Linked DNA regions of Lonchura striata. The protein of the gene in region 1 purifies or fractionates together with the protein of each later gene. This does not show direct contact. Links are inferred from orthologs where the notes say so. Each region holds a gene or a part of one and is shown on either strand. Other genes may lie near its edges. The genes, in order: PHF5A and SF3A1.

Region 1 (7,204 bases):
CCAGAACTTATCACAAGTGTCAGACTTAAGACCTTTCCTTCTTCCACCAGCAAAAAAAAAAAAAAAAAAAAAAAAAAAAAACCCAAAAAAAACCAAACCCAAAACAACCACCCACACCAATACGAACACCACCCAGCTTCTCATTGTTTAATATACAAACTAGGCAAAGCTGCTCTTTATCTAGTAGCCATGTAACTTTTATGTTTGCTTTGTTCTAGCCTTTTTTTTTTTTTTTTTTTTAACCTCACAAGATATTCCATCTTGTGAAAGTCTTCAACTGCTGGAATGGCTGGAAAAAAAAACACTGAGGTATTTAATCACTGTTCATAGAAAAATAATCTCTTTCCCAGGCTAGGAAATGTATTGTGGTTTAATGTAGTAATTTCTTCCTAATTCATCATAGAGAAGACCAGAGATGCAAATAAAAGTAATAGCACAGGCTTCATAGCATCTTATTCTTGCCTGGGACCAAAGCTGATTAAAACAGAAATCTGAAGTAGGGCACTTCAAAAAGAGGTACAACAAAACTTCTCAAACAAAATATTTTCTGTTTGAACATCCATGTCTATGGGTCTTTTCACTTTATGAAATGGCACAAGGAAATGTAATTTTTTTCTAGTACTATGGCAATGTTCAGCTGGTAATCGCAAGATCAGCAATACAAAGTAATTGAATCCTGCTGACCACAGCTTCACACTACCAGAAGCAGGAAGACAACGTGTTTAAGGTGAAGGACTCTCTTTGGACTTGGAGAAGTCTGGAAAACTGAAGGTCTGTTTCTGTAATGGCCAGTATGACCCACGAAAAATAACTGCCTAAGCCGATCACCTTCAGTAGATTAGACAAGCATTTTTCTCTACATAAGAATTTTAAAAGGCATCTAATTAAAAAGTGCCATCTTCATTTTACCAGGATATAAACCTAATCCCTATTTCTGTTGGGAATTAATTTGATTCAATATGGTTCTTCTCATGTTGGCACCCAGCAAGTCTAAGGATCCACCACCACCCACCACTAAGCAACAAGTATAAACTGCCTGGTTCAAAAGTCTGATCCCTCCTCACAAAGAATCTACACTGTATCACTCATCACACCTGTCTGTTCTCCATGCTTGTCCTTCTCCTATTGCATCCTCAGAAACAGGGTGCAGAGCTGCAAGATTAAGGACAAGTCACAAGCCTGATAGTTCCCAGTTTCATTCCCTTTCACACTTCTCTGAGAGGGAATCTACAAGTGCTTCGCAGGGACTTCCATGTTTTCTCAGTAAGTAGTGAGAAGTGCCTTTAGTCCAAGAGCCAAGAGAAGTAGGCAGCCACCAATCTAAAAATTTTCCTTTTTATCCAGGAACTGACCAAACAGCTGCCAAATGACCTCTTCTCACCTGGCACTGAATCCCTTATTCCAGTTTGCAGTGTCCTTGTTCAAATTTCAGTAAAAGGAATGGCAGTAATCATTACAGGACTCCTAAGCCTATTGGTGTTTCATGAGGTGAAAAACTTCCTTTAAAGACAGAAGAAAGCAAATAAATGGGTCATTATTTCTGAAATCTCTGTGAGGAAGTTAACACTGCTCTTTATAAATTTTAAGGTAGCTGTCATGCATTTAGTTCACTACTGTGAATGTTCCAGGTGCAAGGGGAGTCTGAATTCAGAAAATAACTTGCATTTTGGGAGCCGATACGGCAGACAAGTCCAGCGAGCAAAAGCTCATATTCAAAAGAGTAGCAACTGTGTTATGTACACTTCTGTCTGGGAAATCTGTCCTAGAAATCCCAGCTGAAACCCAAAATACCATCTTTCCTGATCTAAGAACATTGGACAAGCTTCCAACTTTCGCAATGATTCAGCCTAAAAAAAAAAAAAAAGTAGTGTGGTATAATAAAATTGTAAATGCAAGCTCATTTTCTGGACCCACCTCAAAATAGCAACCAAAATTATGGTTCTGAAGATCAGTTTAGCCCTGGCCAACATTTCTGCCAGATACACATAGCGGTCCATGTATAATTTTGGTACTTACCCACAAGCCTTCAATAAACCTGGTATTTCAGGTAGTTTAGAGCTTTACAGTGCTCCCTTTCAGTCAATCTTCAAGCAACATGGCTCAAAAAGTGGAATGCTACTGGAAAGTGTTATTTCAGGTAGGCAGAAAAGAGATCTTGACTCTTTGAGGCTATTAGAACTATACTACAAATAGCACAGTCAGTCCAAATCAGGCTAATTCCAGTTTATTTCTTTCAGAGGCAAGCTTTCTCTGCAGTTCCACTTCCAAAACAGTTCCAGGACAGGAGGCAAGCAGAACCAATAGTAGTAATATGTGCCATGGTCAATACTGGCCCTATCACAGTAATTTACAAGATGATGCTCATATTCATTAACCTCTAGGCTGCTCCACAGGAGCTTCCTAAAGACATCACTTGTTTGATTAACATCACAGATTTAGTCCTTCACAGGGAGGAAATAAATATGGACCCTGAGCCTGATAATAGATGACAACCTCCTGGAATACTAAATTTCCCATACCAACTATGCCAGCATAGCCTTTGTTTTGCATAATACAATATTAATTTTAGCAAATGACTGCTTGTTCTCATGCAATGTCACAGCATAAAACAAGAACCAATTCATTACCCTAATAAAAGATTTGCCTTCATTTTATGAGCAGTCATTTCTGTTCAAAGTACAAACTAAAAACTATTTAAGAACAAGTAACTAAGTAAGAACAAATATACCAACCTAACCAAAATGGTATAATTCTGTAGCTTTCATTTAAATTTAAAAACTACTATATTTTTCTAAAACATCTACCTCTAAAGCAAGACAGCAATAACCTAATAAGCAAACTGTAATTAAGATTCAAAAAATACTTTTAGAATACTAAAAGCCAACCAAATTCTTACTTCAGTTCCCTAGGAAAGGGGAACACATTGGCCAAGGTCAAAAGTGGCAAACTGAGAAGTTCCACTGCCGGCCTTTATCAGAGGGGAGCAAAGGTTTCCTTATCCCTTAGCAGCCCTAAACAGAAAACTGCACCTGGTATTTGCCTTACAGGCTTTAAAAGATATGAAAACTTTATTACTGAGTAGACACTAAACTCAACAAAGTCTTTTCCAAGGAAGGCAATCTCTGGGACAAGATCATATTACTGGCAAAGGTGAGTTTTAGAGGTCATGACAGTCAAGACTGTGAGAGCTTCTACCACAGCCCCAGGAAAAAAGGCAATTTATGTGTCTGACCTGCCTGCTTCTTCAGCTGTCCTAGTTCCCCATACAGAGAGGCTGGCACCTTTGTCACCCAGAAGCCTCTGTTTGTATTAAAAGAAGTATTTTTGAAGCAAAGTAGCCAAAAGACAGCTCACTCACACAATAAGGAGTCACCTTGTGCTCCCGCATGCCCATAGGGGAAGTAATACAAGACGAGGGAAAGAAAAATGCCTGCCCCGGGGAAAGACCTTTTATTTCACCGTTCGGGCCCGCGCCCTCGGGCTCACTGCCCTGTTAGGCCCGAGGCTTTGACAGCGGCTGCAGTCCACCACAGCGGGGTCCGGGCAGACGGGGGAGGCGGCGGCGCCAGGCCGCGTCCCCGCCGCCCCGTTCACCTTGCACTCACCTTGACAGCCGGCCGGGCCCGGTAGCGGGAGCCGTCCTGCACCCGAGCCCGAGCAGCGGCCACGCAGCCGCCGCCAAAGCCGCGGCTGCCCCACCATCGCCATGGAAACAGGGCGTGGGGCCGCAGCGGGGACACGCTGACCTACACGCGGAGGCGGGGACGGCCTGACCCCGAGGCTACGGGCGAGCGGCCGCCCTCGTGGCCGCCCAGCGGGCAGTGATCTTGTCCCTGCCGCAATTCCCTGCGCCCGTCCCGCCCGCTGCCTGCCCCGCCCGCCACCGCCGCTCACCCTGAGCCGAGCCGCCAGCACGCAGTACGGCGCCATTTTGTTCACTGACAAAGATGGAGTCGCGCCGCGATGGCGTCACGCGGCCCCTTTGACATCTCCGGTGCGCGCGCGGGGGCGTGGCCGCGCGGGTCCTGGCAGGGAGACACCCGCGACAGGAGAGGGTCGTCGGCTGCCACGCGGGGCTGCTCGGGGAGGGGGAAGGTTAAAGATGGGGTGGCTTTAGGGGGAGGGTTTATTTCGGCATCCCTCGGCGTTTTCCCGCTCGGGGGAGGCGCTTTGGCAGGCGCTGCGCTCACCCCGGCCAGGACCCGGGGGTGGCGCGGCGGTGAGGGCTCCGCGGGGCCGCAGGAGTAGCAGCAGCAGCGCCGGGCGGGTGTCGCCTCGCCATGGCCAAGCACCACCCGGACCTCATCTTCTGCCGCAAGCAGGCCGGCGTCGGTGGGTCCCGGGGGATGGGAGGATGCGAATGGGGAGCTCCTTCCCCCGTTTTCGGGCCGCGGGGCGAGCGGGAGGCGCGCGCGCCTTACCGGCCGTCGGGCACGCGCGCGGCCGTTAGGCCCGGCGGGGGAGGGGGAGGGGCGGCGCGCCACCCGCTCCTCCCTCCCTCTTTTGTTTTCCTTTTATTTTCCTTTATTTTTGATGCCCCGCCGTGCGTTGTGGATCCAGCAGCACTTGGGAGCATCTTTCTGGCTGCGAGACAAAAGTTCTCTTCCGGGTTATTCCTGCAATACAGATAACGGGGTTTATCCTTGTCGCACCCGAGTCAGCATTTGGGTCAAGGTTCAGAGAACTCTTATACAAGATTAGAAGTTGAGGTATCCCTTCCTGGTTTTTGTCACTCCTTGGAAAAGCACATTTAACGAGCAGCTTTCTGCAAGATCCAGAAACGCAAAGCATTCAGCTGCACATCTCTTTTTAGAATAGTCAGTGCTTCTAACCATTTGTCTATGTTGAAAAGTCACGTCCTGACAAATCCCTTTTCTCTCAGACTTCAGACAAATCAGTATTTAGTCTTCGTTGATGTGCACGTCTAGTCTTTGAAACTCAATATTTATTAAATTTATCCAAGTTCCTAACATTGTTGTGAGTGTCCCAGACAAGTGAGAAGACTTCTCAGGTACATTTAACTACCTTCATGTTCTAAAGCAAAGAAGGTATTTGGATGGCTTGAAACAAACACTTGATTTTGGTTTTTTCCCCCCACTAAAACCAGTGTAAAAGCTGTGACAAGACTCATGTACATTTTCTTCAGTCAGATACACCGGCTGTGTTTGAAATGGAATGATGAATGTAGGTTTTCTTACTGCAGAGGGATATCATTGTGCATGTATAGTGCATCTTGGGTTCTGGTAAATCTCTCCAGGAGGATATATGTTGTTTATCATGAATGTATCTATTTATGCTCAAACTGTTTCTATAGTTTAGCCTTTCATTTTTTTTAAGGACTGCTTATTGCAGAAAATAATAATTTGATATTCAAGCTTGTACTTGCTTAGATTTTTCTCTTGCCTCAAATAATTTTTTTCTTTTTTTATCCCCAGCAATCGGAAGACTCTGTGAAAAATGTAAGTATATCAACCACATTTAGTTGATTGAGAATGTAGTGTTGTGGTTAGAGTGTGTAGTTTGGGTTTGAAGGTTGGATTCTATTTTTGCTTTAACCCCAAACTTAATGTCACCCTTTGAAAAGGGAACAATTACTGTAACATTGCAAGTGTAGCTCAAGGAATACTTAAAAAGTTGCAAGCTCAAACAGACTCTCACACAAATGCAGTTGTAGTGTACCTGCTGCCATCATTTCTAGTGGCTGAGGCTACAGTGGCTGTTTCACTGGATCCTTGTAATCTGTAATACCAAAATATCATCCTGATCATTTTAAAGGAGGGGGAAAAATGCATTTTTGGGTTTTGGCTTCATCATACTGTAAGAAAGGTCTCCATTAGCATCTAGGACAAGAAAAAATGGAGGGCAAATGTCAGAAGTTAGAGCAGGAAAAACACCCATGGAATCAAATGCTTATCTGTGAAAGGGAAGAAAGAGTATGATCTGTTGTTAGATCCTTGTGATCTGTCATTAGATCATTGAGGGGAACAGAACAAATGAGGGAGTAGTTTGTGACTCAAATAAAATAGTGTGAGAATAAGTAAAATGGGAGAAGGAGAGTCTAAAGCAAGAAGCAATTTTCAAGAGCACCTGACAGTGAAACAGATTCCCATTGGTAGTAGCTGAGGGCTGTCACGCCAGAGATTTAAGAGCAGGTTAGGCAAGCTGTTTGTGGGAGTCAGGATTAGATACCTTGGGAACTGGTAATAGGATATGAAGCCTTTCATCCGTAGGTCAGTGTTTTCGTTAAGGTCCAGCTCAGCAGAAGCTGTTACTGGCATCTGATGGCTCCTTGCCTGTATGATATCAGTACTTGAATTTCACTCAGTTCCTTGTGAGAGCGTAAGAGTAACTTTTGTGAAATGGCTGCTTATGCCAGTTTGCCCTTCCTTTGACCTTGTCACAGATGAAGGATTAAAGGGACCATGAGTACAATCTCTTATCTCTTTGAGCATAGTAACTCCAGACTTTTGTTGATTTGTCACTGTGGAGAAGCTTACGCTGCAGTTTCTGTGTAGGTAAGGACTCTAGTTCTGTCATTCTGGCTTTTTTTCTTTGCAAATGAAAGTCAGGAAAAGTTTTAGAGTAAAAGTAGTGGTACAATCTAAGCAAGTCTTGACTAATCACACAGTAGTTATCCAAGTAATTTTGGGTTTCTTCTCTGACAGTGAACAAATTACTAAATTAAAAAAAAAAAACTCAAATATTGTGGGCCATGGCCTTGTTCCTCTCAAGTCTGTGTACAGTACAAAGTTGTGCCCTGTGCCTGCCAAGCACATTTCTGCAGTTCAGCACTTTGAGTGCACAGGGAAGTTATTGGACCAGGAAGCTTTTCCTCTGATGTGGAGGTGGCAGAAAGGACATTCTGTAACCAAAGGCTTTGCTGTGCTGGCAGGTGATGGCAAGTGTGTGATCTGTGACTCCTACGTGCGGCCCTGCACCCTGGTGCGCATCTGTGACGAGTGTAACTATGGCTCCTACCAGGGCCGATGCGTCATCTGTGGGGGGCCCGGAGTGTCCGATGCCTACTACTGCAAGGAGTGCACCATCCAGGAAAAAGATGTAAGTTGCCATCCCAGCTACATAGTAGTTATGCTTACCTTTAAGGGGCTTGGAGCTGCTGTAATTACTACTAGGACAATCTGCACTCATTTGCAATATCTGAAACTTTTATTCCCCTGTTGATAGGTCTCTGTGTTTGCAAAGC
Region 2 (8,103 bases), on another chromosome or scaffold:
TCCAAACCAGTCTGTGATTCTGTTCAGGGGCACCCCATGCCCTCCACAAGCCCTGGCAAAGGGAGGCAGGTCTGACAGGAGGCCTGTGACCCCCCACCTCCCCAAACCTCCAGCAGCATCAGCCCACTCTGGCACTGGCTGAGTGAAGGAGGCCCATCCTCTGCCCATCCCCTCAGCTCTACAGCCCAGTCTGGGGGTGCAGGGGGCTACACGGGTGTGAAACACTCGTGAGGCCAGGGTGAGGGTGGAGATGTGTGAGCTGGGTGAGTCCCTGCATGAGCCCCTTACCCAGCTCCTGCACAGCCACCTGCTTTGCTGCCAGCTCCTCCTTCAGGGCCCGCAGTTGCTCCTCCAGCAGAGCAGCTCCTAAACCAGTACAAAAACCCTCTCATTAACCAGTTCTTCAAAATAAAACTAAACCAAGGGGCAGCAAACAGCCACACCAAAGAGTTTTCATCCTGATTGTGCTACCAGGGAGGAGGCAATGATAGGACACACAACCAACTCCCACTGCCTGGGATTGGCCTCACAGCAGGGAGAATCCCCCAGCACCTACTAAAAGTCCTGCTGGTTGTGGAGGGGCCAAAATTTGCCCAAAGACTGTTATTCTGCCTGCAAATGCCCCCAGGCCTCTGTACCTCTCCGGAGATCATCCTTGTCCTGCTCCAGCCTGGCCACAGCCTCGGAATGCTCCTTTTCCTTGGCTTTCAGGCCCTGCTCAGCCTTCTTCTGCTGCTCTGCTTGGGTGGCCTTCTCTGCCCGCAGCTTCCTGGAAAAGTCCTCAACCTGTTTCTGCAGCTTGTCCTTCTGTCTGCCCATCTCTTCCAGCTCAGCCTTCACAGGGTTCAGCTGCTGCAGCAGCCCCTGGAGGTGTTTGTTGATCCGGGAGAGGTCCTTGCTCTGCTCCGAGGCCCAGTAGCTCACGTCTGTTGCAGAGAGGTTCCTTCTCCCTGAGCTGTCCTCCAGCGCCTCCTGGAATTTGCTGAGAGCTGAAGGGATGTTCTGGCTCTGGCAGATGCTGGTGATGGCTCTGCCCACCTCGTGGAGGCTGGCCTGGGCGCTGGAGCAGGTGTCACAGGAGCCCAGGGGTGACCCTGGGGTCTGTGTGAGGACACTGCGGGTGCTCTGAGCCAGGCTGGGGCACGCAGGAGTGGACTGGGCAGCCTCTGGGGCAGTTCCTGACTCCAAAACATCTGGAGAGAAGCGTTTCAGGTGCTCCTTCTGGTATTTCCCAGCCTGGGGAGCAGAGGGTGGAGTGGATTGCTGTGTGGGGATCTCCCACCTACAATCCCTCCCCCGAGGGAGAGAGCACAGAATGAAACCAGAGCCCAGATCAAAGTGGAAATGACCCATAAAAGCCTAAATCAGGTGTTGAGATAGGACAGCAATGCAGCCAAAGGGACAGTGACCAAGGGGAAGCCTCAGCAGCAAAACATACTCCCCACCATCCCTTCTTTCCCACCCTCTGCACTGCCTCCTGGTTTTGCCACATGGATTGTTCTGAGACTTTTCCATGAGAAAGATCATGTTGGGGAAAATAAAATGCAGGAGAGGTTGTTTTTACCACCAATTATTTCACTGTCTTGAGACAGCTCAGCTCCACAGTGGGATCAGCAGAGCTGCAGCATTTTGGCAGTAGGAGAATATTTTCCAAGCTCTAGAGGCAGCCCAGCTCACTCATCCCGAGACCCTGGAGCAGGAGGGATGCAGTGGCACAGCTGGGAGGGGCGGAGGGAAGGGACAGATGTGCGACACAGGGGCCAGCACTCAAAGGGTGCGCGGCCACAGGGTGTTGAGAAGGCCCACCACGATCCAAATCCAGAGGGGGAGAGGAGTGACTCAGCTCGTGGGACGTCCCCAGATGTCCCACCTCGTGGCGGAGCTGCTGGCAGAAGGCCCCGAGTTTCAGCATGGTGCTCCAGAAGGTCCGGGCCGTGAGCCCCGCGGACATGCAGGGCCCCGGGCCCCGCGGCGGCGGCACCGCCCGCCCGCTCAGCACCGCGTCCGCGTAGCCGGTGAAGCTCTGCAGCAGCAGCAGCAGCCTGTCCCCACGGGAAAACACACCCTGGAGCTGGCACTGCCAGCTGGGCCAGGGCCGGCCCCCTCCCATCACCAGGCAAAGCCCCGGGGATGCGGGAGGGCGGGATGGGTGCTCCCGGGACTGCCCCGGTGTGGGCAGTTCATGCAGCAGCCACTTCCCAGAAATTGTGATTAAGCTCCCCCCAAAGATTTGGCACTGCAAATCCTGACTTTTAGGGTCAACAGCTCAGTGGGAATGGCTCATCTTTTAAATCAGAGCTGTATTTATTTCACCCAGACTGCAAAAGGGGCTTTGGCCTGCCGGGGCTGTTGATGCAGCTGTTTCCAAAGTTTTGGGAGGTATTTTAATAAGCCTGTCCCATCTGCTCCACCTCTGGCTCTGCTTCTTTGTGGCCAGTGTGTGCTGGGAGCTCTAAGCAGGGAAAGGAGTTGGGTTTTAAACTCAGCAGAGCATGAGGCCAAGGTGCTGGCACTGCCCATCGTGAAGATACATGGGGAACAAAGCATCCAAGACTTCATGAAAACATGGGATATCCTGAGCTGGAGGGGACCCAGGAATCATCCAGTCCAACTCCTGTCCCTGCACAGACACCCCAGCAATCCCACCCTGTGCCTGAGAGCATTGTCCAAAGGCACCTGGAGCTCTGGCAGCCTCGGGGCCCTGATGTGGCACTTGGTGCCATTGATAAGGTGGCATTACATCTTAGGTTGCACTTGATGATCTCCAAGGCCTTTTCCAACCCAGCTGATTCTGTGATTACTCCCTGGGGCACCTGCCTGAGCACCCTCTGGGGGAAGAACCTTTTCCTGATATCCAGTCTAAACCTCCCTGACACAGCTCCAGCCATTCCTTTGAATCCCATCCCCGGTCACAGAGATCAGAGCAGTGCCCCGGGAGGAGCTGCAGCCCCGCTGAGATCTGACCTCAGTCTTCTCTGTTGCAGCTGAACAGACCAAGTGCTCTCATGCCCAGCCCTTCACCACCCTCTCCGCCCTCATCTGGATGCTCTCTAACAGCTTTGTCTGTGCTGAGGTGCCCAAAACCTTTGCTAGGACTTGGATAAGCCCAGCACATCAGACACAAGGTGCCCTTCCCCGCGGGGCAGGAGCCGCTCCGGGCTGCCTGGGGGCTCTCACCTGTCAATGAGCAGCTCCAGCAGCACCACGTGTGCGTGCTGGCTGAACTCGGGCTCGCTGTCGCTGTGCCTGTAGCGCTGCAGCAGCAGCGCTATGTCCAGCTCGCAGGACACCTTGTCGGGGAACTTCCAGGAGGGGAAGCGCACGGCGCCGGCCCGGGAGCACACGTCGGCGATGGCGGCCTGCAGGTCCCGCAGGTCGGCCCGCAGGCTCTCCATGCAGCCGCGGTGGCCCAGGAGGTGCGCCATGGGGCGCGGTGGGCCGGGCACGGGACCGGCGGGACACGGCCGGGGAGCAACGGGGCCACCAGGCCCGGGAGCGATGGGGCCACCAGCCCTACCGGCACAGGCTGCTGGAGCAAACCCGCACGGCACCCCCGGGCCCGGCAGCCTCCAGGAGTGCCGGGGAGCCGGAGGGAACCGGGGGGCTCGGAGGAATCAGCAGCAACCGCGGGGAAGAAGCGCCGGGCCCGGGAGCTGTGCTAGGCCGCGGCGTCCCAGCGCTGTCGCCATGGCAACCACGCCCCTCCCCGCTGCAGTGGTGCATTCTTGCACTGCCCCCCCCGCGCGGGGCGCTAATGGTACATCCCGCAGCGCCCTATCCCCGCCCACATCCCGGCCATCTGCGCCTGCGCTCCCGGTGCGTCACTTCTGGCGCGCACGCGCGGCACAGCGCCCGCCGCCGCCATTTCGCCCCAGTCGGAGCCGGCGCCGCGTCCGCTCCGCACAGAGCCGGGCCCGCTCCGCACAGAGCCGGGCCCGCTCCGCACAGAGCCGCGTCCGCTCCGGACAGAGCCGGGCCCGCTCCGCACAGAGCCGCGTCCGCTCCGCACAGAGCCGGGCCCGCTCCGCACAGAGCCGCGTCCGCTCCGGACAGAGCCGCGTCCGCTCCGGACAGAGCCGCGTCCGCTCCGCACAGAGCCGCGTCCGCTCCGCACAGAGCCGGGCCCGCTCCGGACAGAGCCGGGCCCGCTCCGCACAGAGCCGCGTCCGCTCCGCACAGAGCCGCGTCCGCTCCGCACAGAGCCCCCGGCAGCGCCTCCATCGGCCCCGCCCGGCGCGGAGCCCCCGGCCCCGGCAGCGCCATGCCCGCCGGACCCGTGCAGGCGGTGCCTCCGGCGCAGCCCGCGCCCCCCGCCGAGAGCAAGCCGGTGCGGAGCGGAGGGGAGGGGAGCGGGGAATGGCGCGGAGCTCAGGGCTCTGGCAGTGTGGCCCTCACGGGCCGGGCCGGGCTGGGCTTGGGGGAGCTGCGGCTTCGTCCGGTGCGCGGTGTTGACCCCTGTGCCGCGCTCGGGTGAGAGCCCACCTGCAGAGCTGCCCCAGCCCTGGGCAGGCACAGGAGGGACCTGGAGCTTTGGAGAGAGTCCAGAGGAGGCACCAGAGATGCTGCAAGGGCTGGAGGTCCTCTGCTCTGGAGGCAGGCTGGGAGAGCTGGGGGTGCTCACCTGGAGAGGAGAAGGCTCCAGGGAGAGCTCAGAGCCCTTCCAGGGCCTAAAGGGGCTCCAGGAGAGCTGGAGAGGGACTGGGGACAAGGGATGGAGGGACAGGAGACAGGGAATGGCTCCCACTGCCAGAAAGCAGGGCTGGATGGGATATTGGGAATTAGGAATTGTTCCCTGGGAGGGTGGTGAGGCCCTGGCACAGGGTGCCCAGAGCAGCTGTGGCTGCCCCTGGATCCCTGGCAGTGCCCAAGGCCAGGAGCCTGGGCTAGTGGGAGGTGTCCCTGCCCATGGGCTGGGGTGAAATGAGATGAACTTTAAGGTTGCCTTCCAGCCCAAACCATTCCAGGATTCCTTGGAGACAGCAGGATCCAGCTGGGGCTGGGCAGGAGCTGAGCCCTTCCCTGGCAGTGCCCTAGGGCTGTGGTTCCAGTGAGTTGGGGGGGGGGTTGCCAGGAGCTGTGGGAGCTATCCTGGCTCCAGGAATGATGTGTGGAGGGATTAAAAGCCTGAGGGAGTGTGGCAGTGCTGTGTGTCCCTGTAATCTCCCAGAGCCTTTCTCTCTTGGCCATTTTCATGTTCTTTGCAGCCTTCCTGAGATGGGAATGTTCATTCCTCATGCATTCCTGAGATGAGAATCCAGCTCCCACAGAGCTGAAGCTGCTGTCCTGACTCTCACACAGGAACATCAACACTCTTGGGGCTGACAGGGAGCTGATCTCGCTGAGAACCTTGGAAAATTGTGATTCCCCCCCAGAAAAACCCAGTGGCTTTTATGCACAGTTGTTACCAAGGCAACATAGCAGCATTGTTAAATATCGCTAGTGTAGTGTTGCCCCATCCTTCAGCTCCTCAAGATGATGTTCTGAGGGAGTGGGAATAAAACCTAGAAATGTTCATGGTGCCTTTTTCTTAACACACCTTGTTAAGGTTGTGTTTTATGGGATGGTTTGTTTTGGAAGGGACCTTAAAGCCCATCTCATCCCACCCCCTGCCAGGGCTGGGACACCTTCCATTGTCCCACGTGGCCTTGGGCACTGCCAGGGACCAGTTTGACTTCAGAACATTTTCTGGCTTGGATTTTCTGTGGATTTGACAGAGCTGGGAGCTCTACCTGGATTTTAAATTATCCCTGACTGTAGCCCTGTTAGGATTATAAACATTTCCAGCAGATCTGTCCCAGTTTATAACACCTTTTCTTGGAAGCTGCTTGGTGAGGAAAGAGAAGCAGCATCTTTAGTATCCTGCAAAAGCATCTTATGGTTTTACTGGAATACAGATCCTCCTGTAACATCAGTGAGAAAAACACTCTTGGAGATTTTCTCTTCAAAACACCTTCTGTTGCAGCTACAATGGCATTAAAAGCTGTGTTTTATTTAATGTGGAGTTAATAATTCAGGTCCCACAGGCCCCTAGGAAGATGCAGAACTTCCACAGCTGCTGAGGAATGATGAATTATTCCTGGAAATGTTACTGGAGCCTCTTGGCTCAGCATTTAAAAACATACTTGGGGTCAAGGCTGATACAGTGAAAATTGTTTTGGTTCCCATGGGGGCACCTTCCTTGTCCTGCTGTCTCTGCCCCTGCAGCAGGTGCCCCTGAGAGTCCAAGGAGTTGGTGGGATGGATGATCCAGATTGTTCAAGCAGTTCAGTGGCTGAGAGGCTGAGGAGGAGGATGGATAAAGGTTCCTGTGTGCCATTGTTTGGGATGCCTAATCCTGACTCCCCTTCACCTTTTGCAATGAAACTGTCTTCATTACAGCCAGAAGAGGAGCCTAAAGAGGAAGCAGCACCAGCCAAGCCTGTGGTGGGAATTATTTACCCTCCTCCAGAGGTCAGGAATATTGTGGACAAGACTGCCAGCTTTGTAGCCAGGTAAGTGGCACTGGTGGTGTCTCTTTCCTGGGATTTTCATGCTTCTGCTGTTCAGTGCAGCTCTAGAAGCTGAAGCAGGTCCCAGTTTTGTGGTTTTGCGTGAAGGATTTCAAGGATTGAGGTTGTACCAGTGAGACTGAAAAAGAAGTCTCTTCAGGAGAGGGTGTAAGACACCCTTTGCTAGAGAAACTGGTAGTAAATAAATAAAGTCCTTGTTCAAATGTGCAGTGAGTGCTGCAATAACTAGGTGACCGGGCCTGTTCTGAATGATCTGAAGGGGAAACCAAATATCAGGTGCAAAGGGAGCCCTGGTACAGGAGTCATGGCTGTGTTTTGGTGCTAAAATGTGGTTGGTTTTGGTTCCAGAGAATTACTAAATGCTGCTCCAGTCCAACCCTTATTGTGTTACTCATCTTGAAAGTGCTGCCAAGGAGCGTTGGCTGCTTCTGAGCATATGGGGCTGTGTTTATCCTTTGGGATTGCAGAGAGCTCCTCTTTTGGAGGAGCTGGAATGTGTAAATGAGACTGGGAGTTATCCAGAGAATATGAAGAGGAACACCCTGTGGCAGCTGGGAATTTTCTCCAGCTGCCCTGAAATCACTGGCTCGTGCTTTGGGTGGGAGGAGGGGATTTTACTTGGACTGGGACTCCTAAATGCAGCACTCTGGGCTGGTCAATCCCTGCACAGGCTGATGTTTACCTGCTTTTTTTCATCATATGATCACTCTAGAACTGAAATTAGTCTTGAGAACTTGTTAATAGAGCAGATAAAATGGATGTAGTAAGTAACTTGTAAACTTCATGCTTCATAACTGTAAACTTCAGCCAGTGGTGGAAATGACCTTTGAGTGCAGACAGATGTGGCTGGCGAACACTTGTGAGTGTGAATTTTTAATATTCACATTAAAGGCACAATTAGGGTGACAGTTGCATCTAACTTGTGTGTGTTCAGCTGGTTGTGAGCTACTGAGGGAGAAACTCTGGTCGTGTGAGAGAGAGAATGATCTTCCAAGGGGCTGATGCCTCAGCACATCCTAGTCTGAAAGAGACATTTACCCTTGAGTTGATCTAAACAGCTTTTCTTCTTGCTCCCCAGAAATGGTCCAGAATTTGAAGCCCGAATTCGTCAGAACGAAATAAATAACCCCAAGTTCAACTTCCTGAACCCCAACGACCCTTACCATGCCTACTACCGGCACAAGGTCAGCGAGTTCAAGGAGGGCAAAGCCCAGGAGCCCTCGGCTGCCATCCCCAAGGTCATGCAGCAGCAGCAGAGTGCCCAGCAGCAGCTCCCACAGAAGGTGAGTGTTCCTTTTCATCACTTTGGGGGAGATTTTGGCCACTTTGGGGTGGTGTCACAGCCTGGGGTTGAGAAGGAAGGAAGCTTGAAAGTCAAGAAGGAGCAGTTGGTTGTACATCAGTCAAAATGCCAGCAGTGACAGGCTTGGAGTCAAGTGTCTGGGGCTTTGTTTTGATGCAGATGTGCATCTCCCAGCTGCTGGTAACTCAAAGCTGTTTGAAACTTTTTTAATTGGTCCATTTTAAGTAAGTTTAGCTCTGTATTGACTTACAAAGTACTTGGATGTGGCAGAGGCAAGCCTTGGGAATCCCT

The links.
Region 2: the proteins of PHF5A (region 1) and SF3A1 purify together in Homo sapiens (affinity purification with mass spectrometry; 3 studies listed by BioGRID and IntAct, with this or other methods). This does not show direct contact. The link is inferred for Lonchura striata from reciprocal best matches to the Homo sapiens genes PHF5A and SF3A1.

The regions. Positions count from the first base shown.
Region 1 is NC_134607.1:58,398,119-58,405,322, forward strand, and holds the start of PHF5A (PHD finger-like domain-containing protein 5A), read left to right. Parts: upstream 1-4,150; 5' UTR 4,151-4,280; coding exon 4,281-4,332; intron 4,333-5,435; coding exon 5,436-5,459; intron 5,460-6,892; coding exon 6,893-7,059; intron 7,060-7,204. Other genes in the region: ACO2 (aconitate hydratase, mitochondrial), read right to left, coding at 3,895-3,930.
Region 2 is NC_134620.1:2,637,237-2,645,339, forward strand, and holds the start of SF3A1 (splicing factor 3A subunit 1), read left to right. Parts: upstream 1-4,979; 5' UTR 4,980-6,237; coding exon 6,238-6,491; intron 6,492-7,587; coding exon 7,588-7,792; intron 7,793-8,103. Other genes in the region: coiled-coil domain-containing protein 157-like, read right to left, coding at 289-366, 639-1,236, 1,871-2,110; coiled-coil domain-containing protein 157-like, read right to left, coding at 3,174-3,425. UniProt on the Homo sapiens protein: Component of the 17S U2 SnRNP complex of the spliceosome, a large ribonucleoprotein complex that removes introns from transcribed pre-mRNAs.